4 linked regions of the Arabidopsis thaliana genome follow. The protein of the gene in region 1 interacts with the protein of each later gene in a pairwise test. Each region holds a gene or a part of one and is shown on either strand. Other genes may lie near its edges. The genes, in order: NAC066, AT5G43540, SUP and LBD25.

The links.
Region 2: the proteins of NAC066 (region 1) and AT5G43540 interact in a two-hybrid assay, tested with the Arabidopsis thaliana proteins (one large-scale study listed by BioGRID).
Region 3: the proteins of NAC066 (region 1) and SUP interact in a two-hybrid assay, tested with the Arabidopsis thaliana proteins (one large-scale study listed by BioGRID).
Region 4: the proteins of NAC066 (region 1) and LBD25 interact in a two-hybrid assay, tested with the Arabidopsis thaliana proteins (one large-scale study listed by BioGRID).

The regions. Positions count from the first base shown.
Region 1 is NC_003074.8:22,925,898-22,933,970, reverse strand, and holds NAC066 (NAC domain protein 66), read left to right. Parts: upstream 1-3,514; 5' UTR 3,515-3,563; coding exon 3,564-3,735; intron 3,736-3,945; coding exon 3,946-4,778; 3' UTR 4,779-4,965; downstream 4,966-8,073. Other genes in the region: AT3G61920 (UvrABC system protein C), read left to right, coding at 770-1,333; AT3G61900 (SAUR-like auxin-responsive protein family), read right to left, coding at 7,592-7,664, 7,748-7,782, 7,856-8,073. UniProt on the Arabidopsis thaliana protein: Transcription activator of genes involved in biosynthesis of secondary walls. Together with NST1, required for the secondary cell wall thickening of the anther endocethium, which is necessary for anther dehiscence.
Region 2 is NC_003076.8:17,492,319-17,499,814, forward strand, and holds AT5G43540 (C2H2 and C2HC zinc fingers superfamily protein), read left to right. Parts: upstream 1-4,536; 5' UTR 4,537-4,674; coding exon 4,675-5,088; 3' UTR 5,089-5,376; downstream 5,377-7,496. Other genes in the region: AT5G43530 (Helicase protein with RING/U-box domain-containing protein), read left to right, coding at 1-32, 114-257, 350-502, 577-644, 738-860, 953-1,052, 1,182-1,294, 1,372-1,942 and 3 more; AT5G43550 (F-box associated ubiquitination effector family protein), read left to right, coding at 5,574-5,945.
Region 3 is NC_003074.8:8,238,324-8,246,355, reverse strand, and holds SUP (C2H2 and C2HC zinc fingers superfamily protein), read right to left. Parts: upstream 4,101-8,032; 5' UTR 3,853-4,100; coding exon 3,238-3,852; 3' UTR 2,984-3,237; downstream 1-2,983.
Region 4 is NC_003074.8:10,234,176-10,243,027, reverse strand, and holds LBD25 (LOB domain-containing protein 25), read right to left. Parts: upstream 4,515-8,852; 5' UTR 4,298-4,514; coding exon 4,214-4,297; intron 3,078-4,213; coding exon 2,682-3,077; 3' UTR 2,380-2,681; downstream 1-2,379. Other genes in the region: AT3G27640 (Transducin/WD40 repeat-like superfamily protein), read right to left, coding at 7,561-7,953, 8,032-8,080, 8,179-8,246, 8,339-8,407, 8,506-8,590, 8,693-8,772.

The sequences.
Region 1 (8,073 bases):
TGTAGGACATGGATCCACACAAGTTATGTGACATTATATTAATCAATTCGAGTAAAAACAACATGCAATTATATACTCTGTTGATCTGATAAGATGTACTCTGTTTGGTCCATAGTTTCACACGTTCCATTTATAAATTTATAGAATTAGTTTTCGTGGAGGTTTTCTAACAATTTGGTAAAATGGTTAAATTCATTAATCATCCATAATAATTTTACAAAGATTAAAGTCTTTTTGTCTCTGTCGGCCTTTTCACCTTTTGACCTCACGTGAACATTATTACCCCTATCACTTACCTTTCTAAATGGAAAATAGGTTAAGGAAAACCATTTATCTTACTTTTTGTAATTTGTTTAGATAAGGTTTTATTTTATTTATTAATCTGCCAATTATTCTACAGAAATTAGTTCATTTTTTATTTTACCTTCAAATGTTTTCTACTTGTTGTCAATTGTTCTACAAACAGACCATTGCCAATTACTCTCAATTCTCAAATAACCAAAAATAATAATCATTTATCTTTCAAAGACTAAAATAATAGTAATGATGATAATATCGCAAGCACAATATCTTCGGTCCTTTTGTTTACAAGAAAAGTGGTGGACCATTCGCAATTTTCATTTTTTCTTTACGTCGTAAAGATATATACTTCATCTGCTCAAAGAAAACGTTTGTCTTAAACCCTTCTCCGTCTTGGGGTTTTCTTTGGATTCCATACATTACATATACACAAAATAATCAGTTATTATTTCTAACTTATGTAGCAAAAATGGGTAACTGCGTATTCAAAGGCAATGGTGGTTCAAGAAAATTATACGATAAAGATGATTCGTTGATAAAAGTGGTGACTCCAAACGGTGGCGTGATGGAGCTTCATCCTCCCATCTTCGCCGAATTCATCACCAACGAATTTCCCGGCCATGTCATCCACGACTCTTTAAGCCTCCGCCACTCATCTCCACCGCTTCTCCACGGCGAAGAACTCTTTCCCGGTAACATCTACTACCTCCTTCCTCTTTCTTCTTCCGCAGCCGCGACCGCTCAACTGGATTCCTCCGACCAACTATCAACGCCGTACAGAATGTCTTTCGGGAAGACGCCGATAATGGCGGCTTTGAGTGGCGGTGGTTGTGGAGTGTGGAAGGTGAGGCTTGTGATAAGTCCGGAGCAGTTGGCGGAAATTCTTGCGGAGGATGTGGAAACGGAAGCGTTGGTGGAAAGTGTGAGGACGGTGGCGAAGTGTGGCGGTTACGGCTGCGGCGGAGGAGTTCATTCGAGAGCGAATTCAGACCAGCTAAGCGTTACGAGTAGCTTTAAAGGGAAATTGTGGTAAAATTTCGAATTATGAATAAACTACGTTTATGTTTTAATCTGTTTCACGATTTAAGCATTTAAATTAGTATGTTGATTTCCGTATTCATTGAAGACTTGGAACGATTATATAAGTTTATCAACGTAGATATATTTGAAATATCATTGTTATCTCTCATGAAACAATTAATTTATGAAGTCGTAGACTCGTAGTTAGAGATTATTTAATCTTCCCTATTCAATGCCAAAAGTCTAGAAGAGCAAAACAAAAGGGAGAAACTCTTTTATTTCAGGCCCAATGACACAAAGCTGGCCAGAAACAGTTTAAGATTAGGCTAAAGTTATAAGTCCGACAAGCACGAGTGCTAATATATATAGTTATATGACGTCTCACCATTAAGGGTTTAATAAATTTTGAAACACCTCAAATTAAGATTGCTTCCCATGCAAACTTCCTTCATCTTCTAGAAAAATTACGATTTGTAATACTTCAATTATATCATTTTAGTTTTTTGTCACTAATTATCATCAATTTATCATAGCTCCGTGCCGCAACAACGTTCGTTTTAATCAGATTATATATTACTCTGCTATAAACTCAGAACCATGTTAGAAAAATGAAAAAGACATTTCAGAATATTCATTAACTCAAAATTTTAATCTCATGATTTAATTTTTTATTAACAATGTTATCCTATAGCACATGGCAAATTTGAACGGCCCTTGCGTATTAATCTATTATAATCTCAAAACCATGTGTAAGAAAAAGGAAATTCAGAAAATAACCTTTTGTAAATAGGCCCCCACAAAATCTACAACATACGTAGATACCTCCTCGCTTACAGTTGTAAACAACTGTTCATCTAGATTCATGCCGTCATTCAAGTTTAAATTAATACAATAATTTAAAATTTTAATTTGGATGAATCGAATCCACCGTCGTTTCCTGAATACCAGATAGGTTAACTTTATGATTAGTTCGAGTGAACCACATGCACAATATTCGAATCTTAGACATTCGTTGCAATGTTAACTTCACATATATTTGATAAACGCTTCTTGAATCAGATCTTAATCTCTTTCTTTCTCTCCATCTTCTAAGGAGGTTGTGGATTATCATGTAGTATATCATTATCTTCGCATCACCTTCAACAAGAACAAGCTACGAGCTTTAAAGTCGTATTTAACACAATAATGTATAAAGTCTTTCTTCATCACATCACATACATTTTTTGTTGCCATCACCCTTCATTCACTTTTTTTGTTAACACTATTCGTTTCTATATAAAATAAAAATAAAATGAGGAATGTCTTGTCCATAGAGATTTTTAAGGTCGAGGGTCATCGGAGCGATGTGGGCTTGCTTCCTACATTATAGTTGATATGTGGATCCCGCGTGGACCATATTTTTACCCAATAGCTACGTGCATGGTCCCACCGCTCTCTCTCACGCACTATTCCGAAATTGCCATAAACAATTTCACCGGACAAAAAGAGCAAATAATTTCGATGTTTAATAAAGAGACCATTAGTATATTTGACCCAAAAAAAAATAAAAAAAAAAGAGAGACATTACTATAACTTTTATTAGATGAAATATTGCAACATTGTATTTATAACGGATCTAATTTACTGAATCATATTTTTTTTCTTTGTTAAAGAGATACTGAATCATGCAGAAAAATAGATAGATTTTTAAATACTAGGTGAACTCATGACGAATCAACCATTACGAGAGATTTCTGGATAAAAGCAAAAACAAAACAAAACTAACATGCTAATCTAGGCAATTAGTAGAGCGAAAAGTCGGCAAAACCAAAGGCCGAAGAAGCTTGATCGATATACTTTTTTTTTTTTGTTTTGGCTGGATATACTTGGTATGAACTAAGAATTAAGTAAAAACTCATAGGGAGTAATTTTTCGAGAAGTGCATTCACTATGAGTATAAAACAGACATTTTCAAATTATTAAAACAAGCTCTTAGAGGCTCATATGTTTAATTGTAAGTGGCGGCTCATGCGAACTTATAATGAAAACATCAAATATTCGGAAAAATAATACTCCACTGTTAAAAAGAAAACTTAACAAAGGAATTAAAAATATGAGAGCAAAAGAACACATGCATTTTCTCATGCATGTACTATTATTTATTTTTTTGCAGAGTTGATGTAAAAAATATACACATATATATAGACATACTTTGGTTAGTTATAAACTCGTTCTATTTTCTTCTCCTTTTTCTATCTTTAGCAATGAACATATCAGTAAACGGACAGTCACAAGTACCTCCTGGCTTTAGGTTTCACCCAACCGAGGAAGAGCTCTTGAAGTATTACCTCCGCAAGAAAATCTCTAACATCAAGATCGATCTCGATGTTATTCCTGACATTGATCTCAACAAGCTCGAGCCTTGGGATATTCAAGGTTCATCATTTATCTTTTATTCTTGATGAAACGTATTAATAGGGCTTGTATATATTAATTAAATTAGTTTTTTAATGCATGTGTTGAGTCAAGAACTAAAGCTCTGAATTCAGGAAATTTTGCAGAGTAATATATACTTTTTGTGATAATAAAATTTGCAGTAACAAAATTCAGTCAAAACTTAACACAACTCTTGTTTTTTCTATGTAGAGATGTGTAAGATTGGAACGACGCCGCAAAACGATTGGTACTTTTATAGCCATAAGGACAAGAAGTATCCCACCGGGACTAGAACCAACAGAGCCACCACGGTCGGATTTTGGAAAGCGACGGGACGTGACAAGACCATATATACCAATGGTGATAGAATCGGGATGCGAAAGACGCTTGTCTTCTACAAAGGTCGAGCCCCTCATGGTCAGAAATCCGATTGGATCATGCACGAATATAGACTCGACGAGAGTGTATTAATCTCCTCGTGTGGCGATCATGACGTCAACGTAGAAACGTGTGATGTCATAGGAAGTGACGAAGGATGGGTGGTGTGTCGTGTTTTCAAGAAAAATAACCTTTGCAAAAACATGATTAGTAGTAGCCCGGCGAGTTCGGTGAAAACGCCGTCGTTCAATGAGGAGACTATCGAGCAACTTCTCGAAGTTATGGGGCAATCTTGTAAAGGAGAGATAGTTTTAGACCCTTTCTTAAAACTCCCTAACCTCGAATGCCATAACAACACCACCATCACGAGTTATCAGTGGTTAATCGACGACCAAGTCAACAACTGCCACGTCAGCAAAGTTATGGATCCCAGCTTCATCACTAGCTGGGCCGCTTTGGATCGGCTCGTTGCCTCACAGTTAAATGGGCCCAACTCGTATTCAATACCAGCCGTTAATGAGACTTCACAATCACCGTATCATGGACTGAACCGGTCCGGTTGTAATACCGGTTTAACACCAGATTACTATATACCGGAGATTGATTTATGGAACGAGGCAGATTTCGCGAGAACGACATGCCACTTGTTGAACGGTAGTGGATAACGGAAATGGAAGAGAGGAAGTGACTAAGTGAGTGACATACCAAAACATTGTGTAGAAAGATATAATAATCATCATACCATATATATAGTTGTTGAAACTTTTACGGTATAAATGGTCAGATTGTGATAATTACAGTACGTAGTTATGTGATATCATTACAGAAAATAAAAGTTCTCTATATCTGTGTACATTTTATATCATGATTAACTTTATAGAAAAGAATTGGTTGCATAGTTGAATTTCTTTGGATCAAGAATATTAGTTTTTGTCTTTTTGAAACTTAATTGCCATTCGATGAACAAAAAGGCAATTACATTTTCTACTGTAAGAAATCATAGTCTGTCACATGCATCGCCGGGTGTTTTCTAATTACAATTATATGAAAAAAGGATTTTGACCAAAAGTTGATTATGATTTCAAGAGAGACAAAAGACCAAAATGATAATTAATTCGTCGACAAATTAACTTTAGGAACAGATGATTTCCATTACGTTAATTATTCAAAGTTTCTCATTTTACTCTCAATTAAACTGAAGTTTTATTTACTAGAAACTTGAGATATTTAGTTGGTAAATGCTTAGTTTGATGTTGAATAGTTTGCTTCATTCATCATTAGGAATAGATTAATTACCCAATTAATCACCCCAACAAACTTGGATTAAGATGCACCAAGTGCTTAATAATAGTAGCTAATTAACCTACCCATCAAAGCTAATCACACTCATTATTTTTCAATTATAGCATTTAATCAAACAGTATTCGTTCTTATTGTTGAATAATCTCTTTCAAGGTGCGGAATCTTACTTTTGAAGAAAAATGGAGGATTCAAATATTCTCATCTTTCTTTTTATCATGTGATAATATTAGTAACAGACTCCATAACTGTAACGTTTTGACCTTTCATTTTCCACTTTAGCTTTCTGAAATTAGATTCGATTTATTATAATGATGTATTGATATTGATCATGTTGTAAATACTAAACGCAACAATTACATGAAACTTGAATTCGAGGCATTAATTTTTCTCTTTTCTCTTTGACCTTAGCTGATGCAAAATGGAGGATTTCTCAAATATCCTCACTGTTATTTATTTTTTATTTTTTGGGTTAAACCTTAATAAAAAATATTGGAAATATCAAAAATGTGTGGGCTGTTACATGTGAGTTCTGCTTGGTATTAATTGTACCACAAGTATATTGGGCCAGGCCCATTTTATTAATAGGTCAATAACGACATCAAATGGACTGTGAGTGTAGGTCCACTCGATGTCTTAATTCGTGAATTTTAAATTTGTGAGACCTTGTTTTTTTCTCTTTGTTATTCCCTTATTAGGAATTGACAAATATAATATACGGTATAGGATTTTAAAGTACTAATTAATGTTCGGTTGTGGTACGGCTTGAATATGTAAATATACTTTGATTTTCGTATAATTTTCTCGCATCATCACGTCCTCTTCTCTCACGTAAACTGTTTGATGAAGTAAACAACACAATGGAAATTCCGACTTCACAAAAAGCCGTATGATTTAACACACGAAACATATAGTATATATTGCTAATTTTGTGCCCTTTATGGATTAGTTTCAAGTAATCTTTCACTGACTACTAATGTAAAAAAGAATTAAAAAAATAAACACAGGAATAAGAAAGGGCATATTATTTATAAAAAAGGTATGCTAATTATTGTTATAAGCATTATTTAACAAATTAATAAAGGCTTTCCACTAATAGCGACACACTCGACCGACAAATGAATCCAGGCCACTTATTACATGTGATTGATGACTGATGATCGTTTGGCTTGAGTGGATTCGTATTCGTACTCCTTTGCTTACGGGAATTTGGGGGAATCTCCAGAGTTCAAACAACTAATGAATGTGTATATCGTTTACTTTTTAACTTTTCTACTTTGATATAAAGAACACCATAGTATCTCTTTGTTACAGAGATATCACACATAAATAATAATCAAAATGATTCTTTTAAAATGGGGTAAAAACTACAGTACTCGCAAAAATTATATTAACATAGTTATGTATTTGTGTTGGAAGCCAATACACAAAAAAGAAAGTGAAAAAAAAAAAAAAAAACTTCTTGGACTTTCTTTAGTTTTCATGCCTAGTGGTTGGTTGACTGGTTTGTATTGAAAAGGGTAGTATAATCTTTGGAATTAACGCATTGAGTAAAGACTTGTTTTTTTTTTGGATTAGAACATTGAGTAAAGACATCGATTAGAAGAGACTTATTTTCATGCCTAGAGGTGCCCATTTTTGCCGACTTTTTCTTCCATTCCGTTATTCATATCTTTGGAAATATCGAGTACAATAACTTAATTTTCTTATTATCTCTATATTCGTTTTAAGTATTTCTTAAAATCAAATAAATTAGGTCATTATTTATAGAAAGAGATTTCTTTTCTAAACTCTCTGAGGACAAATATTTTCTTTATCTGTAACGTAGTCTATATGGAAAAATAGATTTGTTTTTCGGGTCAATAAAATTTAATGCGATGTCGAAACTGGCCGTTACAACAGAAAGATACAAAAAAAAGATAAAATTTGAAATCAACGGAGAATCTCTTCTTCTTTTTTCTCCTAACAGATATAATAAGGGAATTAATTTGTTTTTGTCGTAATAAGGGTATTTATTTATTAGTGACAGTTTTCAAATTTATACGTCTCTTAACAAAAATATCATATACGCAAATTGCCAAAACTTGTTCGTCATCTCTCGCTACCATCAATCGGATAAACATATATCACAAGAAAAATTATACGAACAATTAATTTATAATCTCACACTTATTTATATTTATGGATATTTCCAAACACCACTAGAACTTCTACTCCTAATCTTGTGGGTTAGGCCGTGTTTGGCTCCACAACTCCACAAGATCAAACCCATTAGAAAAGAAAGGAAAAACAAAACAAAAAGAAGAAACTAAATATGAAACGCAAATTTTTACACCCCGTTTGCTTGCTTGCATCATCATCATCATCAAGCTCTAAAACATCCAACAAGATGATTATGACTTTGATTATGACGATGATCATGATGGTTGTTGTGGTAATTAACCGATCTCTCTCTGTTGATCATGTCTTGAACATATCGAAAAACTTCCACGTGGCAAGGGATTGTGATGGTACCTTTCTGCTCGAATCCATACTCTTCCTCTGCTTCCCTTAGGAGTTGCATGAACAATGGATGGTTAAAATAAAAAACAGGAACAACAAATCTCTGTTTCTCCTCTTCTTTTGATCCCACTTTGATTGCTAAACACCCTTTTGGCACAT
Region 2 (7,496 bases), on another chromosome or scaffold:
TTTGTCCCATGGCATTGTTAAGCCAATGGAAGGTGATTGCCTTGACAGTTGTGTCTTCTTAAATGTTTTTTAGTTTTTTACACAAGTCTCATGGATTTTCACTTTATTTTCAGGACGAGCTTGAGACTCATTCAAAGCCTGACACTGTGTCTGTGTTAGTTTACTATGGAGGGGATAGGACACATGACGCGAAAGCAATAGCGAGTCATGATGTGGTTTTGACAACTTATGGTGTTTTAACCTCAGCTTACAAGCAGGTTAGAATAATATCATGTGTTAATTTTGTGTTCCAAAACATGTTTGTTTTCTGTTTAGTTGAACTTAAAATTCTGAGATTCATGACATGCAGGATATGGCAAACAGTATTTTCCACAGGATTGATTGGTATAGGATTGTTCTTGATGAAGCTCACACGATCAAATCATGGAAAACTCAAGCTGCTAAAGCCACATTTGAGTTATCTTCACATTGCAGATGGTGTCTGACTGGGACTCCCTTACAAGTAAGATAGTAAAACCAACTCATGGATAGATATACTTTTTTGGCACTTACTGACTCCCTATCTCTTTAATGCAGAACAAGCTCGAAGATCTATACAGTCTTCTATGTTTCCTGCATGTTGAACCATGGTGCAATTGGGCTTGGTATGATCAGACTTCATCTAAAATCGTGCTATTCTTCGGTATATAATTCTTTTTTATTTGACTTTTACTCGTGTATTGTATATGTATATATAGGTGGAGTAAGTTGATACAGAAGCCTTATGAAAATGGTGATCCACGAGGACTGAAGCTGATCAAGGCGATTTTGAGGCCATTGATGCTGAGAAGAACAAAGGAAACAAGGGACAAAGAAGGAAGGTTAGTTTTTTTCTTTGTTTTAGTCCCCTTTTTCTCTTTTCTTTTGCTTGTCTTATGCTTAACTTTCCACTACCTTTTCTGCAAATTCTCAGTCTAATTCTTGAACTTCCTCCAACCGACGTCCAAGTCATTGAATGTGAACAATCTGAAGCAGAACGTGACTTCTATACAGCCTTGTTCAAGAGATCCAAAGTAAGTGTTATCAACTTATAGTTATAGGCTTCAAGCTCAATAAAGTCTGTTATAAGATTGATTATGATCTGTTGTAATGGTTCTTGATGCTTTGGTAAATGCATAACATTCTCCTTTATTTTGGAACAGGTCCAATTTGACCAGTTTGTGGCACAAGGAAAAGTTCTTCACAACTATGCAAACATCCTCGAGCTCCTCCTCCGTCTACGCCAATGTTGTAACCACCCTTTTCTAGTTATGAGGTACAAAGCAAAAAATCATTCAATAAACTCTTTTATTTCCATTGAAATGGATTCTTATACCTGGAAATAAATTGCAGCCGAGCAGATTCACAACAGTACGCTGACTTAGATAGCCTTGCAAGGAGGTTTCTTGATAACAACCCTGACTCTGTTTCCCAAAATGCTCCTTCTCGGGCATATATCGAAGAAGTTATCCAAGATTTACGCGATGGCAATAGCAAAGAATGTCCAATATGTCTGGAGTCTGCAGATGATCCCGTTCTCACACCTTGTGCTCACAGAATGTGCCGTGAATGTCTCCTTACTAGCTGGCGCTCTCCATCTTGTGGTCTATGCCCAATCTGCAGGACAATCCTGAAGAGAACCGAACTTATCTCATGCCCGACAGATAGTATATTCCGTGTTGATGTGGTAAAGAACTGGAAGGAGTCTTCAAAGGTTTCGGAGCTGCTCAAGTGCTTAGAGAAGATCAAGAAATCTGGTTCGGGCGAGAAGAGCATTGTCTTTAGCCAGTGGACTTCATTTTTGGATCTTTTGGAGATTCCATTGCGAAGAAGAGGATTTGAGTTTCTTAGATTCGATGGGAAGCTGGCTCAGAAGGGAAGAGAAAAGGTTTTGAAAGAGTTCAATGAAACCAAACAGAAAACGGTAAGTCATTGTCTAAATTTCTAACTAACTCTTGTCCAAATCGAACAGAGAGCTTAAGATCTTTATGCTTCTGCTTCTGTGATGTATTACAGATTCTGCTTATGTCTCTGAAAGCTGGAGGAGTCGGTCTGAATCTAACTGCAGCTTCAAGTGTCTTCTTAATGGTACCATCTCTCTTCAAGCTTTGTTTTTTTAAGTCTTCTTGATGATGATGAATTGATCATTTGGTTATGTTTCTTGAAATACGTAGGATCCATGGTGGAATCCAGCGGTGGAAGAGCAAGCGATCATGAGAATTCATCGAATAGGGCAGAAACGAACGGTATTCGTCAGAAGATTCATTGTCAAGGTAACACTATAAACTGCAACTTTCTCTGAGTTTCTAGCATCGTAAGCAAGATCTCGTAAGTAAGTAACATTGTGTTTGTTTTGGATGATTGTGTGCAGGATACAGTGGAGGAACGGATGCAGCAAGTTCAGGCAAGGAAGCAGAGGATGATTGCCGGAGCTTTGACAGATGAAGAAGTCCGGTCTGCAAGACTTGAGGAGCTTAAAATGTTGTTCCGATGAGAGACTTGGAGAAAGTCTTCTTTTTAATCGTCTTTTGAAGTTAGAGAGTCTTCTTTTTGTTTTTTTTCATGTAAATATTGGTACAAGTTATTTATCTTTCTCCCCTAATGAGTTATAAGTAATTTTGAACACTGATTGTCTCGATCCACATATTGTGTATATGAACAGTTGAACGTGGATTATGTAATTTTGAAACATCAGTTACGATCAGAAAAACAGACAAAAAAAAAGAAACCAGTTTGGAAAAAGCAGCTTCAGTGGTTTAGATCAGTGGGTCAAAGAAAGATGTGGCAACAAATCTGGTCAAGTTTTTCTCACCATTCCTCTGCTTCTGCAGATGAGTAACTACTAAACTAAGTGCCGTAACCTACAAGCAAGATTCTAATGATTTTGTCTTATATTGTTCCGTAACAAACTACGTGTAAAATACGGCACTGCCAAAGCTACATAATCAAATTTCAGAAGCCAGATTTTTCCTATGCAAATATTGTATGAGTATGATATAGCTACAATCTACATAAGCTACTTAACAAATATGTTAGGTTTTGTCGATTTTCGTCTATCCGATGAATCTAGTCATGAATCAAAAAGTACTAGTGTATACAAATATATTTGCAGGTTGCAACCAAATTATATAGAGAGACGAACATCCAGCCTGGAAACGTAATGTAAGAAAAAAGGAAAAAAAAAATCACTAAAGTAACAAAAAGTGCACCAGCCGGGAATTGAACCCGGGTCTGTACCGTGGCAGGGTACTATCATGCCACTAGACCACTGGTGCTTTTTGCGGAATGTTGTGGAACTAGGATTCTAAACTAATGATGGAAAGCAGACCAAACCCAAACAAACCGGATTAGGTGTACATGTAACGTAATCAATCAATGATGTGGCAGTAATTAAACGAATCAGTGTACTCGAGTTGCAATCAAATGACATCTTCATTTTTTCGAGCTGTTTAATCAAGAAAATACTATTTACGATCACCTAAGCTAATATTTATTTTTAGCCCATAAACTAAAGTTTAGTTTTGTACTCTATTATGTCTATGTTATCTTTATCTCTTTGATAAATTTTTGAAAGTTTATGACTTATGAATTATGATAATTCGTTTTCATCAAAATATTGTTTTTGTTTTAGTAAAAAATGATCGTTGTGATATTTTGTAGTAGAAAAAGTAAGCAGTCAATCGAGACCTAACTTTTAAAAACGTTTTGCGATAAAAGGTTAGATTATTACAAGACAAACACAAAAGGAATATTTTATAAATTAAAATATAATAACACGATTGATTTAAACCACTCCCTTGCCTTTTAATTGTCATCATTTCTTGTAATTTTGTGGACTAATTGAAGAGTTTAGTTGAAGTTGATTTGGATTTCAGTTAACTGGATTAATGTGAGGATTGGTTTTATCTGATTTATAATCAAATCTTTAATTTGTTATGTCTCTTTCGATATATATTTTGTTTTATGTTCGTTGCTTTGTGTTTATATACGAGTATTGTATTGTAAACAAAACTACTAGAGACGATAGTAAATATTGTTTTACTGATTAAAAAATCATAATCTTATAATTTATTCTACATGTGTATTTTTGTTGGAAACAAAACTGTAAAAGTTTTAGATAATTGTGAGATCATCACTACTCACAAAATAAATATATTTTTTCACTGATTTACTAGAGAACCAATTGAATAACATGGTCTAAACGTAATTTTTGAGGAGCAATACCTTCTAGTGGTATAAATTTATTTTGCCTCTTAGATTTAGCTATATAAACTTTCTATTATTAGCAAGTTAATAATTAATAATAGGCTACATTTATAATCTAGATATAAATAATACATGAGAATAAATAAATAAATAAATCCTTCAAATACGGTGATAGTTATAAGAAAAAATTGGTACATAAATATACGAAGAAAGAAAAAGCCAAATCATGTCTTCCAAACATATAAACACACATCAAGAAAAGTATTATTAGTCTTATATATAAATTTTGTTTCCTCTATCATATAAACCATCCTTATATGCACTCAACACATTTGACAACTCTTTCATCTTTCATCTTCCCTTAAAGTCCTATATTTCGGGTATCAATATTTCTTCAAAATATATATCCCTCGATCGATCGAGGCAACACACACATATATATATATATATATGGAGTGTGAGAGATCATCGTCGTCCACGTCATCAGAAACCGGAGCAGTCAGGCACCGTCGTACGTCGTCGTCGTCAGTCTCCACCGTGACGAGACGAATGTACGAGTGCACTTTCTGCAAAAGAGGTTTCACAAACGCACAAGCTTTAGGTGGTCATATGAACATCCATCGACGTGACCGTCTCAACAAGGCCAAGGTGCAAAACGATGCTGACGTGGCACTCTCGCAAACTCATAGATGTTTCCACGTGGCGTCTGACCTTGGAGGCTACGAGCAAGTAGACTCCGTCGTGTTGAGGACGACGACCTCGAACTACATCCAACACTTACGAATCGGCTCGATGGCTACAAGGAGAGAAAACGTCGTCGTTGAAGGAAATGAAATCGATTTGGAGCTGCGTCTTGGCTTATGATCATCAACTTCTTACCCTCTATAGATGTATAATAATACGTTTTTTTGGTGTATATTATATGGTTTTCGAGGTTGATATATGTAATCTAGGAAAGCGTATATGAGACTATAATATGTCAAGGTAAGATATTTTTGGTGGGTATTTATTTATGCATGTTTTGTGATCTATCTATGAGATATATATAAATCTTTTATCTTATATCATATTATTTTCATTATAGTTTTTTTCCATAACATAGTGAAATCTGTCCCATAATTAATTAATTGTCCAGATCTTCGCATTCTATATATAAAAAAATTTGGCAAATAGAAAATCTGTCCCCTGTAAACGGATTAATATGCTGCACCCGTGGTTCTAGGATTGCGGTTTTTAATCCCACCACTGGCGGTTTGGTGGTATTGCCCCATGTTAAAGCCAACGGAAGAGACATCTACACACGTCTCGGATACGATCCTGTCGATGATCAATACAAAATTTTGTGTGTGATGATGTTCCTTAAGTGTGACGACGGCCATAGACAATACGTTATAGAACAAGAGCATCTGGTTTTATCACTAACATCACACTCATCGTCGTGGAGAAAGATCGAGATCTCGGGAGATGCTTACTCCTACTTAGAAGGTGGGATTTGCATCAATAGTGCTATATACTATGGTGTTGGACATACAAAGATAGCTAGATTTAATATTAGATCCGAGAAGATAATGTTTATTCAAGCACCAGAGGATTATAATGCAATCTCATGTTATTCAACCCTTACAAATTACAAAGGAAAATTAGCATGTGTAAGCTATGACTCCTATTGTGAATCTAAGTTGCGTGTATGGATTCTACACGATGTTGAGAAAGAAGAATAGTCAAGCATCATGACTTGTGTTGTGCCTTGTGACAAGGAGCTATCTTTGTGCAGTGGAGAGAGTCATAACAACGAGGTTGTAGTGGTATCTAGATGCTTAAAGTCATCTAAGCACTTTTTTGTTTACTATTTCGATATGGTCAGAGAGAGTATCATCAGAAGAATTGAGGTTGAGATTGATGGAATCGCCGATTATGAGTTTAGACATATCAATGGAATTGGTAAACATGCTCCTAGGATTTTGTGTTTCCCTGGTCACATTGAGAATCTTATGTACTTGTAAGTTCTAAGTTCTACTCTACCATAAGTTCATTAGCTTCTATTTTCATTTTTAGCCGTTTCAAATCGTTTTTTGTAGTTTGGTTACTTGTTCATGGACTCCTTTTAGCCGTTTGTTTTCTCGAACGCCACAACTACGTCTACCATTAGTCATGGACTCATGGTGATCACCTAATGTAAATGAAGCACGAGTTTACCAAATTACAATGACTGTAAATTAATATTTTCATTCAGTTTGAATGGTCAACGCAAATACGGCATTTCTTTAGATGGGCTTATAACGATAATGGGTTACGAACGGCTTATAGCCCATTCAAAGTTCTTATCTTTCAATTTCAAGTAATTTGCTTTCAAGCCCTTCGAATCTACCAAATTCCAATGACTGTAAATTATTTTTTTTTCCCCTCAAAATACATATTTACAAATATTAATTTACTTATGTATACAGACATTAAAAGGCACTAAAATAAGCTAATTATCATGATATAAAAGTAACTCAAGAGGAAAAGTAACTAAGCTTACATGTAATTCATAATTAGGTGACATCAAATTTACTATTTTTTAATTTTCTGCTGAATTTTTTTATTTATTAAATATACTTATTAATATCGAGATGTCTAATAAATATGAGAGAGTGTTTAAAAAAGAGTTTAGACATCGACATGAGACAAACAAAAAATGAAAAATAGTGGTACAAAATACAGATATATAACTTGAAAAAATAAATATAATTTATCAACACAAATACAAGTCCTAATCTGTTATTTATAAATTAATAATCTCAAAATATTACTTTGATATAAAATCAGTGTTCGTGTAATCTATCATTTATGCGATTTTTTAAAGAGATAACAATTTTTTTTTCTTTAGTGAAACATTAATATACCGTTTATTTAGTATGTTAAGTACTTTAATAAAACTCTTTAACAAAACAAAACAAAGTTAAGTATTTTTTAATATATAAGATATTTCTCTGCATGATCCAGGTGGAATTTTTTTAAAAGTTAACAATAGTTTTTTTTTTATAGTAAAACATGAATTTTGTTTGATTATTCCATTAGATAACAACTATTTTTCTTCTTGACAAAAAAGACAAATTTTTTTTAAGTAAAACGTTAATATCTCGTTTGTTTTATTCCGTTAAATAATTGAAATATATAAAATATTTTCCCGCATGATTCACGTGGATTTTTTTAAAAGGTAACATTTTGTTTTCTTAAGTAAACATGAATTTCGTTTGGTTATTCCGTTAGATGCTTTTAATGTATACATA
Region 3 (8,032 bases), about 15 Mb from region 1:
GCTCTTCATTTAGTCATTTTTCAACATTCTGATGCTGAAAAAATATAAATTATATTATACGATTTGTATAACGAATTTAGCATATAAGCACATTAAATATTTGAGTAATTGTAATAATACCCTGGCATCAATTAGTATATCTATGATTGTTCACATAATTAAGAAATAGTGCTTGATGACCAAATAAAATGTGATATTTGCCTAACTTGTTACTTAATTTGTTCATCAACTTGTTATCTAATACTTCATATGAAAGTATCACTTTTATTTTTAATACTACGTACGTTCTGGTATTATTAATACCAATATGTGCCCATGTCTATCTCCACTTTCACAAAAATAACAACAAAGATGAGCTTCTCCTTTGCCTATTTGTCTTTACAATTTTCTATGTGTTTTCATTGTCTTATGACGTCATCATATCAAAGTCATTCAATGTGATGGCCTGAGCCTCACGTTGCAGCCCTAGTGCCCCTTTGGGCTCTTCTTTTATATCTGCTCATTTATATATTTACTTCATTACTTGAATGTACAATGTCACACTATGATATAACTTCCGATTATTATTCATGACTTTAATTACTGACATGCATGCACACATGCATACATTATGTGAAAAGATCTTGACATCACTTGACATTATGTACGGACTATAGAGCTTTATTAGATATAGTCGAGTCCGTAGAGATGGATGATGGATATATTATATTAATATGTAGTGGCTAATGTGCTTGTAAAGAGGCTAAAGATACCAAGTCCTGCCGGGATAGCTTTAGAGATACAATTTTTTCCATATATTTGGATTTGAATGTTATTAATTTTGTTGATGATCTGTTGTTATTATCCTTGTCTCACATATTTTTCAATGACTCAAAATATATGTCTCTATATAAGATACTTTTATAACGGTGTTCTTACAACTGAAATTATAATGTAAACTTTTGTAGCTGTTGAAATTGTTGAAGCGTTTTCATTAAATGGTTTAGAAAATAAAGAAATTATGGATTTAAGTCGTGCTAATGGTTTGCTATCTTTTTTTTTTTTTTTTTTTTGGTTTGCTATCTTTACAGTTGCCAGACCACTCAAATTTGAATCTGCGTTAATTTTTTGTACTAAGATGAATTATTAACTTATTATATGTAAATAATGAAGAAATATTTCGGAAAATTCAATGAAAAAGAGAGATGATCAAATAGATGAAGAAAAAGAATAGATGAAGAAATTAAGAATTAATAATAACGGTGCGTAGACATTTGAAGTGGCTGGTGTTTGAGTATGTGAAAAAGTGTTGAGGAAAAACTTTAATGCTTTTCAAGGAAAGTAATAATTTGGTGGAGGAGTTTGTACTGTTTAGTTATGTGTAACGCTTAGAACTGACGAAAACATAACTTACTATAAAAGGAAAGCTCATCATGCCATTCAAAACCCAGACATTGTCGGGAACATGCAAACCCTCAGGTTTTGGGGAATACCAAACTTCCAGCATATATACCCTCTTGTCCAAATCCAACTATGGTCGTCACATACACAAGTGTTGCGTATCTGTGTTACTGATTTAAGAGATTTTAATATCTTCCTATAGTTTTGTATGATTTGTTCCGTACGTGTTGACCTTTTCAAACCAAAAGAAAAAGAAAAAGATTAAGGAAATATATGGCGATCGAGTAAATTATGACATGTTTACAGATTTTGCACTCATGAAACTGAAATATGCTTTGGGAATTGTTTTCTAATAATGATTTGTTACCCTCAGTGCAATGATTCAGTCAAAAATATTTATATTTTTGTACAATTAGTCAAGATCACACGCAAACACAGTTTCTATTCAACCCATTCAGATTTGAAATAAATTGATAAATTATCATACAAAAGTCAAAATGACAAAAACTAACCAAAAATGCTATGAGTGTCAAGAGTTTGAAGAAACTGAAAGCCCTCTTTTCGTATTCACAAACAACAGAAGCCTTGATTTGTGGTAAGCATATTCAAATGCTTAAATATTAAATTTAATTTCTAGTGTGCCAACCGAAAATTCATATACATATAAACGTGATATCTGATACTAACAAAGTTGCAAAAGCTCCTTATCAGAAAAAGACATAGTTGCAAATGATATATACATGTGAAGATTCATACTCCATCAAATAACATGTTCTTTTTCATAAATGATATTCTATTAAATTAAATTAGTATCTCTATAGCAGAAAAAATAAGAAGATAGAAACCCTAAGTACACGAAGAATTACTAATAAAATGAAAATTTCTATTTAGTATGTTCCACGAAACTATCTATTTCGAATCTTACTAGCCCGTTTGTTAATTGTTACCTAAAAAGGTAGGTTAGATGTGTTAGTTCGAAGGAGATTAAGACAGTGTCCAATTTGCTTGACGATATATGATCAGCATATATAGGCACTATATGAAGTGCGAATTTTAAGTTTTGAAACTAGTGAATCGTTCCAAGGCAGAACTCATTGATATGTTTTACTTTTTTCTTATATATGCCCTTGTATAGGAATTCAATTTGAAGTAGCTAGCAAATTTAGTTTCATCTAGATGCGACCTACAAGTTCCACTACCGTAGTAGAGATGAAAGATATGGATTGAACAAGTAGATTAAAAAAAGTATAACAAACGATCCCTCTCCAAAAGATCAACTATGTTTTCGGTTAAAAGAATAATCATTACTTTTATAAAGCATGCTATTTTGTAGTTCTTCATACATATTATATTAAAAAAAAGATCTAATATATCTATCTAACTATGTTGTTATTATTGAAAACTGTGCAATTGTATATAGGCTGCCCCAATATATATATATATATATATATATATATTTACTTATTTATTTGCACGCAAAAGATAAAAATAAATTATCAATCTTCAGAAAACAAAAAACAAAACAAAAAGTAAACTAAGTCTAACATATCAATTTACATGAAACGTAAGAACTAAAATATGTAGAAATTTATATACGATCGAAGAGATAAACAATAATTAAGGAGACAAAATTGTATCCATTGTCATACATAAAACGGTAACAAGCGCATACATATTATATAACATCTAACGCAAGCTTATAGCTTATACTATAATCATATAATCAACTATAACGTTCTACTAAATAGCAAGCTTAGAGAATTTCATATGGATGAAACTAATTAACCTTAGAGAAGCATCATATCTTCTAGAATTGTGAACTTCGAATCCTTTATGGATAAAGTTATTACCATCTAATTAAGCGAAACCCAAACGGAGTTCTAGATCCAGATCTTGCTCTGATTCGTTAATCAAACCAATCTCAAGCTCCAAGCTGATGATTTCATCATTCCTCAGGATCTTGCAAGCATCTTTACTGGTGAACCTTGTAGCCTCTCCAGCCTCCACTAAAAGAGATGATTTCTTAGTCTTACAAGCGTTTTCTGGTGTATGTTTTGACTTGGGGCTCAAGGAACGGATCAAACCTGCCCTATATCTTGGTGAGGATGGAGGAGAAAGGGTTGGAAATAGGGTTAGAGGAGAATGATGAGGAGGAGGAGAGTTTGCCATGGTTGAGTAAGAGTAATTAGGGTTAGGGTAAGGAGGAGAAGGTGTTGAAGATGATGATGGAGACTGTTGTAATCTGAGTCTTGCTCTGTCTCTTCTGTGAACATTCATGTGGCCACCAAGTGCTTGAGCCGATCTGAATTCCCTTTTGCAGAAGCTGCAAGTGTAGGATCTTGGTGGCCATGAAAACCCTAGAAGATAATCATGATCCTGTTGGCAATTATCATAATCTCCATAGCTCCATGGTGAAGTTCTTGCACGGCCATAGAAGCTGTTCCTCAACTCTATGCTGTTTGATCTCTCCATATGTGCAAGCTCTTTCTTTTTGGCTATGCTAGATAAAAAAATTGTAAAGATAATTAAGATAGTACTAGTAATGATTTGTGGTACATCAGTTTATAAAAGCAAAGTGTTTGTAAGATCTGAAAAGATGAACTCACTTTTTTCCCCTGGGAAAAATCTAAGATATATCTATGTCTGTCTGTCTCTTAGAGAGAGAGAGAGAGATATAGAGATGAGAGAGAGGTGTGTGTGATGATAGGGTTGGGGCTCTTTGGTGTTAAGACTGTGAAAGAGACTGATTCTTGGACGCATTATCAAATCCCCATCTTAGATTTAATAAAATGAAACTTTAAAGAAAAAGCTTTATTTATGTTGGGGTAAACATGTATTAAGCGAGCTTTTCCATGATTTGATCTATGGAGATGACACAAGTTAATTAAGTACATCTATTACTTTCATTTAATGATGTTACACCTTTAAGTTTCGTGAAAATCAACAACCAATTTTGTCTTAAGATACCATTCAGTGATTTTATGCTATCATGAAATAGTGTTTATAGTGTTATCTATTAAACATATTCACAATTTTAACGAGACCTAAAAGATATATGGAGTAAAGATAGCATATGTGTAATTAAGAAGGAAATGAAGTTAATATTGAGAGTCTGAACAATTTGTCAAACAATTTATAGATAAAATCCTCAAACAATTTGTCACAAATGAAAAAGAAAATCGCACTATCAAAAATATCTCAACATAAAATATGATTTTATTGAAAGGAAAAAGAAATAATAGAATGGGATGGGGAAAAAGAAGTAGAAATGAGTGTAGGATTTCACTTTACAAAAAAGAAAGTCAATTGTCTTGTAATCATGTTATGTAAAACAAGCATTGTGAAAATTTTATAAATAACCAAGTTATCGTTTTTGTATCGCAATCGAAACATGATGAAATCACAGAATATCAAACTTTTGTAACACCAACAAATTTAGCGACCAACAAATAAAACATTTCACAAGCAGTAGATACCATGAGAAAACACTATTTTTAATCATAATTTTCTCTTAAAGTAGTAGATATATGTTATTATTATAAAAGGTAGAGAGGAAAGAGTGATGGGTGAATATGTAAAAGATGGGAGTGTATAAATAAGGAAAACCTCGGCGAGCAAAAGGACATATTATATCAAAAGTTTTATACCAAAAATGGAAAAGTGGATGTTCCTTTCTCCCATTTTTCTTAAATACATTTAATATAGAATTTATCATCTATATGTATTAATAAAGCTTTCCTCGTGAGCCATATCTTGACATTTGTTTGTTAGCAAATCATAAATAACGACACACATTATTATTAAACTTAGGTCTTTAGATTTTGCCTTTCCTTCAAAGTTTTATATAATACTATATAGATTCATACATTGTCCCTTTCTTTTGTTTTATATAGTTAATATATCACCATGTGTTCTGGACCAATTCCTTTCAACATGTGTTGTGTTTGCTCAAATTGTGACCCTTTACTTGACATTGATTTCATCGTCGGCACATATCTATGTTTAATTTGGAGTTGTTTAATTATATATCTGGAACATTCTATGGGATGAAAATTAAATGTTTGAACTTGCTAAATTTTCCATTTTATGGTTCTATATAGAGGAATCTGTGAGGTATATAATATTGAAGGATCTAGGGAAATTTGAGGGGACAGATTATATGAATTGGGAAGCAACTCCTGTTGATTTTAAGAGATTTGTTTTGCGATATAATTAACCCGAGTCGAGCTGATCTTGAGTTTAATAACATCTGTGTTCTAAAATTTAAAATCGCATAAATTTGCGAAGATACGTAAAAACAAAAATATGTTTTGAAAATTCCTTAAATAAAATTAGATTTTAAAATACGGTTCATGCATGGTTTACATATGATTGATCTAGTGAAATTGAATGTAAGAATTTTATGTTTGAACTCTTTGGATAAAATAGATTTACTAGTAGGATTGTTAAAAGGCCAAACTGCAAATAGTTTGGAGGAACCGTACAAATGCAATTACAAAGCTCAACATTCACCAACGAGGAAAGTCTCATTTACTACACATTCAACTGCTTTATATATATATACCCAATATGTACACATTTCACAATTGTCGAAACACAAGAAATTATCTAACCATCTCGCCCCTTTTCAATCACTCCTCTCGTTGAAATCCAACTTTTGTTACATGTTACTACACTTCACCAATTGACAAAAAAAAAAAAAAAAAAAATCAGCTGAGCTTAATATTCGTAGAAGTCTTGTTTTATCTTCTAAATATGCTACTTAAGACAAAAAATAAATAATATATTTTACCCTTTTTTTTCGTCAAAATAATTCATAAAAAATCTGACCTGCTAGGAAAAGTGCCTTGATTAGTTTTTTTTTTTTTTTTTTTTTTTTTAAATCATTGATAACATTCCAAATGGGCTTGGGTTGAAGATTACAAGTATCTGATCCAGTTACAAAAGCCCAATAGAAAAAAGAAAACTATCGACGGAATTGAAGGATCGGACCCTTCTGATGGACGATTGCACGGTGGCCGGAGTCTTAGATCCGGTGAACCCGAAATCCCCAACTTCACGGCAACCACGGTGGATCGACGAGCCACAGGCGGAAGTGCCTTGATTAGTTATTCACGTCAGGAAGAGTATCTACTGAATAAATTAATACAACATACTCATACGGAATGATTAGACTCAAAGTATTGCGGAATTAACCAATGGATTTCTTAAGGTTCTCTGACTTGAAATTAAATTACTTTATACATTTTGTTTTTGTATTTTTCAAGATCCTTAAATTTATAATTTTACAACCACGCAAATGTAATATTGTTCTTCTGCGCGTCAGCAAAAATGTCTCTTTAACTCAAAGTTCTATATCAAAGTAATTAACATGTGTAACTTGTTTGCATGACACATGCCACATATAGTGGGACGGATTTTGGGCTGTTTGACACATATTAGTTGTGATCTTTGTACCATACTTAATGTTGTGGTAGATGTTATTAGTATATATTGTACGACGTTAATCTATTTAAATTAATAATAGTAGGTTCCAAATTAAGGACGATGAAGATGTTCAGGTGGATCATTGACGTTGTCTTTTACGGATTATCAATGTGCCGACTAATTAAAACTAATTCGATAAACGAATGAAAAAATGGCACTGGAATAAACCAAATGATATAAATACATCAACTATTTTACCATCAAACAAAAATCGATTTATTATGAGTCTTCTGAAAAAAATAAAAATAAAAATGGAAGTCTTAAGCAAAATAAATTTAATATACTTAAAGACATTTTTTTTTTACTATACTACAATATTAAAACATAGTAAATGAGTTGTCACTAATCTTTTGCTAAAAGAAAATGGATTTCTTAACCTAATAGCTAGTAATGATCGCCTATCCATAGTAAATTTAGAATTGCATGACTCTTTCTAGTTTCTACGAAGTCCAACTAAAAAGAAATGTCACACCACCAATTTAAAAAGGTATAGCAAAAGAAAAAGTTCCCCGTTTATTTCCAATATTTTTCGGTTCTCTATCATTAATTTTCACTTATCCAAAATTTATAATAACCTGAAATGATCTGTTACCTGGTGAATGGAGTGAAAAAGATGGGAAATTTTCGGACAGAGAGAGTGGAATTAGACAAAAGATTCTGCCAAAATTAGAAGATGATATCTCTCATCATCGATAGGACACATCCAACGGCTGAAAGAGAAGGTCTAAAAGTCTAGTGGCCACTCTCTTTTTATTTTAATTTGTTACTTTTATTTACCATTTGTGAATAAAGGGCCTAGATTTTTCAATAGCTTCGTTGATCGAAGTTGCAGAGTTTACTCGCAGTAGTTCAACACTTTATTGTTTATTGCATGAGCCCCTTCCCTACGTGTTTTACATCATCACTAATTTTTTTTCTCAAATAACTACTATTTTTACTTTATTATAAGACTCATTATTGTTTATTTTCTTACAAAATTGTGAAAGTCTCTTTCATGAATTTGAATTGAGAAGGTTTTGTTTTTATCATTTTCAACATATATTTGGCTTCGTGGTAAAACTTTGTGATTGGCTGTCACATTTCATGTCAAGTCTTGTTTTTTTTGTTTATATTTTTTTTTCTATTCTTTTTTTTAAAGGTTTGGTTGCAACCTAAAGAAGTCAAA
Region 4 (8,852 bases), about 13 Mb from region 1:
AGAGCTGAAATTCCATCATAGCTGAAATTAGTATAATTTTTTACTGTAGTAAATTTATTTTTACGGTTAATGGTTATAGTTCTTAATTAGTTTATATGTTTAGAGTCTGGTTACAGTTTAGAAATATTGGTCCAGTTACAGTCTGGAATGGTTTAGTTTTGGTAGCGAGTGGCTTTAGTAGTACCATTTTTCTTACGGAGGTCTTAATCAAAGAAGAAGAAAAACTAGTCGAATCAATCAATTCGGGTAGGCAGTCCATGGAACAAGGCTTTTTCATTTGTTTCTGTTATTAGACCTTTCTATTTTGATTATAAGCTATTGGGCGGTTTAGTGGTGGTCTACTGTTACTTGATAACGAGAGGACAACTCTCTCTCACTTTCTCTTGGTCTGCAAAATGGGCCCAGTATGATCCATTTGACGTTTTCTTTGTGTGATCTTCACCTTTTTAACGATGAGATTGATTTCAAACTTGGATTTAACCTGTAAAAAGTTATGTCTATTTGCTCAAATAGCAAGTACTAAAACAGTAGGTTTTCTATACATGGGGACACTAGTACAATAGTTTCTCTTGATTATTATATGGTCACAAGTCCACTTCTTGAATATACAAAAGTTTAATTGTAAGAATAATGTGTGAGAAAAAATAAACTATAGATTTTTCTTTCTCAATTGCATAAGATAAGAATTTTTGTTGAAAATATAAGGATTTGTTATCATTGTTTAGTTTTCTTTGAAATCAACATTTATAGTGACACAATACCATCAATTAGCACAAACTACTACACTTTATTTCATGATTAGTTATTTAGGTATTGTATAAAAAAAGATATCATCGATGAGAAAAGAAAAATTATGAGAGATTTTAGGGAGAATGAAAGTGATGGAAGGAATAATTGAGGAAAAGTCTTTAAATGAGTACAATTTGATATGATTTATCACATGGCAAAACAATCATATTTCTGCAGTAGATAGTGATAGTGTGATAATAAAAAAATATAATGTTGTTTAAAAAGAGTTAAACAAATGAATGTACCTTTAGTTACTGTTTCTGAAACTGACTCATGTTTGTTTGGTACACAAATCTTGAATCCCCCTGTCTCGTCGACATGTAATTTGTTAATCCACGCATGGAAGTCAAAGAACTCTACGTATGACTATTTGTCCTGCATAATTGGCATTCAATATATCAACATGTGAACAATATATACACATTCGACTAGATGCTCGTTAACTTTTTTTTTTTTTGGACAAAAGATGCTTGTTAACTAACTCAATTGATTCTCTTAAAATTGTCGCTATTTGTTCCAAGCACAATTGATGTAAAGAGTATTACAGCATAAATATGATGCGTCATTTGGTATTTCTTTGGGCAATTTTGTAACCAATAAATAGAGTGGTACAAAAAAAAACGACATAACAGTAAAAATAACGAAATAATTTCAAAAAATAAGTGGTAAAAAGTAGTACTAGTACAAAAGTAATAGTGTTACTGGTTTTGGCATCACTAATTTTTATTATTAACAATAAAATGATTAGGATAAAACAATCGGGTTATATATGAGTTTTGTTTAGTTATTTGCTACTTGACTTGTATTTAAAAGTATATAAATTATATTAATTATTACTTGTATCGACAAGGATATAGACTTGTTTTTCAAAACAGATATGAGGCAAATAATGGATACAGGATCGAGTAACAAATAATCGTGCTTAGCCCTACCCGAAACTATACCGTATCTTAAGATACATGAATAATTGAGCTTTTGGTTTAACTTATTATTAGGGTATCATCATACTCAATCTTAAAAAACTATAAGCAATCTTACTCATCAAAAAGAAAAGTTCCATTTGTTATTTTCTTCTTTTGACAAGATTAGTTGATTTGTATGTAAATATATGTGGTTGTTAGTTCGCCCCAAATGACATAAAATTATAAAAGGACCGACTTTAAAAAGAGATTCCCTATGAAGACATGTGCCTAAATTAAAGCTACAAAATTTTGGTGTTTCTAAATTGATTAATTTATTTAAACTTTTTTCAAGTCGACAAATATATAAAATCACTCAATTAACTTAAAATATTAGCAACTTTGTGTTTCTGACCAGTGACTAGTGTGTGTAATCAAACAACCAATTATTAGCCTACATTCCTATGAGTCTATACAAAACCGTCGACATGAAATTTTATTCTTTTGAATATCATAATACAATAGTAATATTGCAATCACAATTCGTTGAATGCAACTTTATAAAATGCTAGAAAATCTGTCATTAATCAATGAAATATGTGTACATACATAATTTAGAACATAAATCTTTTAGCAGAAACTAAAAAACTTGTGAATAATGACCAATGGGCCACATGTAAATCAGTGGAGCTAGATCAAGTTAAAGAGAGTTATGGAGATATGAGCATGAGCAAGATCTAGTTATTCAACATCATCAAAAATATTCCTTGACCTCTCCCATGAAAAAAAAATTACAAGTTAAATTACACATACGCATAAGTATATACATGAAAATAAACATAAATATACATGCATGCATGTCCCCATATTTACACATATATACATACGACTAATAACACTTACCATCACATCAACCATCCTCTCTCTCTTTATACTTCTCCGCCGCTAATTTTCTCAAAGAGTGATGATGACTAATCAACTCTCGTTGACCAGTCAACCCCTCCGACCACCATAAGCCGACGTCGTTTCACCACCGAGACAACCAGCGTACCTCATGAGATCAGCATTTGTCTCCTCGAGTTCCCTTTGCAACCTCAAGACCTGTCTTTGGAGCACCGAGATCGCTCCAACGCAGCCATACACTGGATCTTTAAGTCGTGCTTCCGCCTCGTAAGCCAGCGAGTTGACCGCATCTTCCCGCTGATGGGGAGCCACTTCGTGGAGGATCTTGCTCACATTGCTTGCCCCGAATATCCGGTGGACGTTCGCAAACTTTGTAGGTTCCTCCGGCGGAAAATAGGGTGCGAATACGCAGTCTGACGTGCATTTACGCCGGAGGAATTTGCATGCTGCACACGGTGAGTTTGTGTAGTTCGACATATATATCCCCTGATTTTTCAGTTGCAAAAAAATGGCAAAAACGATTTAATCACATCATAGTATCTTATTAGTAATTCTCGAAACTACAGTATAAGATTGATATGAATTTTGATCCATATCGATCGATATTGTAATTCTCTGGAGTCTCTTCTTCTTCTATATACATCAATTATCAATATCTTATCAACAATATGTCTACGTACACTTTTTAAAAATTGATACAGTTTCAAATGTTTTATTTCCATTTTGAATTTGGTAACTAGCAAAGTAGCAATAAAATGGTATCATCATCAATACAATATAACTTACAAGACGTATGATGTTCTTAGTCTTTTAATCCTCAAAATTCATTATATTCTACGTAAAATGGTAACTAGAAATAATAGTCTCATCATCAATATAACTTAGAAGACGTATGATGCATGTTCCTATCTTATTATCCTTAAAATTCATTATTCATAGTGTTCTTTCTGCGTCAAAAAGATGTTATACCACCTAAATTTATATTTCAAATATATCTCAAACAAATATATACATCCTTGTCTAATGAATTAATTTTACATAATTATAAAATCTTGGGAAATTGAGAATAATCCATACTAAAAAGTTATTGGTGAATCTAACACACAAGACGATTATGGGAAATTATATAAACTTGTGTAACATTACACATTAAAATGTAAACGTCCATATGATATTCATAGTAATATGAAGAAAATGGGTGTCGGAAATTCGAATTACTCACACAGGTTTTACGTTTTAGAGCTAGTATTAGTTCTAAACAAACAAACAACATGTTCTCATCAAAGCACTCTCTGTCTCTCTGACTCTGAGTTCCCCACATGTACTACATATTAGTTTGAATCTTGAATTTATGACCGAGTTTTATTACCTGCTATATAGGATACTTTCACTGTATATTAGAAGTCCCGAATTCCTGATTTCACTTTCAATTGTAACTTCTTCTTTCTTTTGTAAAGAAAAAAGGTCGTCCAAATTATAACTTGGTAGTTCAAGACCAGTGATCAAATTTTCATGATCTAAACTCTCTAAATTTATATAATCAATCAACATATATAGAAAGTATATATATTATGCAAGTGTGAGTGAATTGGCTGTACAGAATGAAAAACTCTTGGTCTTACCTTTAAATGGATCGCAACAAGAAAAGGTCCTTCCTTGATAACTTCTTGAGAAGGTTTGATCTTCTTTGTTTCTCTCTTGGGCATTAATTATAAGAAAGGAGAATGAAAAATCTTCAAGTAGATTTTGCAATTATTGGGATATTTTTGTTGTTTTCAGAGAGGAAACCCTAGTTTGAGAGAAAGAGGAATCTCTCTAAGGGGAAAGTTAGAGAGATAAAGAGGAGACATGGGTTGGATATAGAGAGAGAGGGGCAAAAGGCATTTTTGGTGCGATGAGAAAGAGAAAGAAGATGAATATAATGAGATTACAAAAAGACAAATTGGCCTCAATTAATTGAGGACCTAAAATAGTGAACTTAAGAAAGAATAACTCTGACCGTGGCAAATTTTACTCCATTCAATTGCTTTTAGTAAATAACTAAATATACAACATATTTTCTATCTTATTTTTAATTTTGACAGCATAACGTATTTTCTATTAAATTTTAAAAAACTAATTTATAATTTTTGTCAACTAATTTATTAAAAAGAAAAAAATTAAACGAGCCATTAGTATATAATATTGTTTATATATGTGATATGATACGGTTCAGTAAGTATGTAAAATATAAAAGCGATAATTTGTCATGAAAAAATACTCTTTTATTATGTAACTTAAGAATATATGAGATAATTTAACAATGAAAGAAAATCAAATGATAGTAAACCAATACTTTCATGTATTTAAATTAAGGTACAGCCATATACCCTCAGGAGTCCGAACCATTTTATAAAGAAACTAATGATAAACCTTAATTAGTAAGCTATTAGTATTATTTATTTAAAACTAATGATAAACCTTAATTAGTAAGCTATTAGTATTATTTATTTACCTTTGACCTTTCCACGTTTTATTATTCCGTAAAAAAAAAATGTTTGTGAAGTCTTTGGACCACTTAAATATATTGTTTAAACTAAATTTCAGAAAGTTTTGGGATACAAACTTACAAGAACATCAGAACTATTGAGGATCTGAGCAAATCCGACATGTGTACTGTCATTTTGCTTGATTGAATTTAACTGTTAACGTCTTGATTTTACTGTTTACATTTCTGAAAAATAGTTATTAACTTTTACGTTCTTTTAATTAGTTGATGTGTTCATTCAAAAAATTTGACATACCCTGATGGTTGAGCCACATGCTTGAATCCAAAAAAAAAAAAAAGTTTCTATAGTGCATAACAAAGAAAAGAAAAAACTGTAATCAATTTCTATTTAAAATTATACCGTCATTTTCAACGAATATAGATACCATTCACAAAAAAGGTTGTTGTTTGTTGGATAACTCTTGTGGTTGTATTATAGATCTTATATTTCCTATAATTAAAATATTTAGCGACTTAGCATAGTATTGGTCAGCTACAACTTTAATCATCCAACGAAATTAAGACCTAAAAGATATACCAAACAAAGTAGTTGATATATAATTATATATCCTTTCTAATCCAAGTGCACTTACAAAATTAAAATGATATATATAAGTGATGATGATACCAAGGCATTATTGTTTCCATAAACATATATATGCTTCATATTCCATATAAGTGCAATATTTGGTAGCAAGTGCGTATATAGATTATACCAATGATTAGATAAGATAATCAATCATTGGCAAGCATTATTTTACGTATTTCTTGTAACGATACTTTACGTATTTCCTGATTAGATTTCAGTGTATACAGATATGCTTCATATAGTATGTGTACAAAGAAAGTATAAAAATAATAGAAAATTGAAAGAAAAAGTGAAGAAAATATGAAAAGAGAAGGACCAATTCAGATCGGAAAAGAAGAAGCACTTGAATACGCATGCATACAAATATCCCTATACGGCTATACATAAATATATAAGATCAGGCCTGGCGAATGAAAATGTATGTCTCTTATCGTGTATATAAAATAAGCTAATGTGGGTCGACCAAAAAAAGCCAAGACGTCCAAGAAACGAAGAAGCCAAGATAGTGTGTGTGCTAATTAATTATGTATCCATTTTAGAAGAATTCATGTATATGCATAATGCATCATGTATGTATCATGCATGCACCTAGAAGTCCTATAACTAGAAGTCGGTATACTTTAATTATCAATTGGACAATTGGGATAACAAAACCTGGTAAGTTCTCTATATACATATATAAACTTTATAAATAAATAAATAAATGGTTTAAATGTAAGTATAGCGTATACGAATAATGAAAATTAAAAGTGATGTTATACGTTAAATTTTTCGAACTAAAAATTTTCGATAATTATTTTGAAAGGAAATTTGACAATAGCTTAAATCCTAGAGAAAATTGCATGGTTGTTACAACAAAATTTATACAGGATATGATCGATTAACTAACGAATGAATCCTATTAATTGCGATTACTTTTGAGATTAATTTATACCTAGCTTGATCTCAAGTTTGTATCAACCCATAAAACCAAATGTACTTTTGTGATTTAGTTATCATAGGTTGGGGTTTTGTGGATTGGTTGTTGACGAAATGTATAATACAGAAAAATGTCGACGGAATGATTGCAAGTCAAGTGTGATATGTCCTCAACAATCATTACATAAGCACAATTATTTGATCAAAATTTATTTAGAAATAATGCACCTCTTCTCTTCTTTTGTTTTTGGCTACACACCTCCTTTCATTTCACCAAAAAAACACACACACCCTTTCTTACTTTATTTTTGTTAAACACCTATTTTCTTATTACATTATACATATACATCGAACCCAATATATACGATTAGTTTTAGTGATGTCCACTCTTATTGTCAAGTGTCAACTATATTTTATTTTATTTTGCTAATAATTCAACTAATTATTTCATGTTTTTTAAGATCATAGTATTTGCAACCAATGATAAAATTTAGAAGAGCAATTAAGAAAATAGCAATGGAACAAATAAATTATTTGTGTAAATTTTCTGACATGTTTGGATGACCTTTATACTTCATTGTTATGACCTATGTAATATTTTCCTTTAACATGTTTTGTATGTAAACGGTCTAATTTATTATATGGATGTTAGATTAAAGTATTTCGGATTTAGAATTTACCTTTTGTTAGAACGACATATCATAAATTACGTTCACATAAAGAATGACATGGTACATGAAACATCCCTGCTTCGTTACGGTTAAATGAAATATATCAAATTGGAAAGATTGGTATTAGTTTTGTCATATTGCCATTTGCTTTTAATAGTTTCTGATTTACTTCCTACAAAACTATCAGATATCAACCCGAATCTAATAAACCTTACAATTTCTATACAATAACCTTTGAACAAGAATTGGCAAAGAGATTAGTGTTTAGGGAGTGACGAGAAAATAATCTCTAATGGTTCGCCTTTTGACTGAGGAAGGAGGGTTTAGTACAGAGGATGGACTGTTGAATGTGGTTTCTGGTGTTCTCTCGCATATTATATCTTCTTCTGATGATAATGATGACAATGATGATGATGATGATGTTTTCTTCTTCTGAGACTCTGGAGTTCTAATGATAGGCATTGACTGATCATTATTATAATCATCATCTGATGATAATGATGAATGCTTTTGGGGACTCTCAGTTTCTCTGTTCATCTCAAGTCTTTCTTTGGCTTCAGTGTTTGACAATGCGGTTACTCTGCGTTTAACTCTGGACACAGACGCTGTTGCGTTTGCGTTTGTACATATGTTGTTCTCTATGTTCCATAGTCGTACCTAATTATGAAGAGCCATGGAATCAGTACAATTCATTAACCTTTTGCTTGTGTCAACATATATGAAATGTTTTGTTACCGTGAAATCATCTGAAGCTGTTGCAACTTTCCCAATCTCTGATGGAGACCTGAACAATAGATTTGGAAACAGTTTAGTTATGTATCATCGAATCGACATGTCTGCTAGTTGAATGCAGTGAAGAAAGAGTTGGTTAAGTAGAGTTACCAATCTACTGCAGTAACTTCAAAGTCATGGCCTTTCAAGATTATAGGATCTACTTGAGGTTTATTGACCTGAAAGTACAATGGTGCTTTGAGCATTTACATATAACTCTCGAATCTTTCGTTTATAAGAGAATTGTTAAACTAAGAAACAGAATCCAAACCTGCCATATGTAAGCGTTTCCATCGCTTGAACCGCTCAAAACATATTCACCATCAGGACTAATCATCGTCTGCAGAGCAAGATTTAGACAGTGAGTGAGCAGGTGAAAAATGTTGTAAAAGCAAATCAATGGTGTGATTGAAGTGAAGATTGTGAAGGAGGCATTACCCTTACGAAGAAAGAATCTATCCGGCAGCCAGAGAAAGATTGTACAGGTCCTTTGTCAAGCCGCAGCGTGTTGTATAGATAGATTCTGCAAAGAGAGAATATATTTGGTTAGAGCTGGACTGTTTGACGACTGACGAGGACTAACTCACTAAGAAAAGTTATAAAGTAAGAATCTTAAAAGTCTAACCTATTGTCCTTGCATGATGCTGTGAGATAGGTTCCACTTGAGTCCTGGGACAAGGAAACTATACCATGTGATCTCTTTTCCTGCACAAATTAAAAACCAGGATACAGGTCAATCTAGTTTCCATTCAAATCATTCAGTGCCTAATTCACAGTGAAACCAT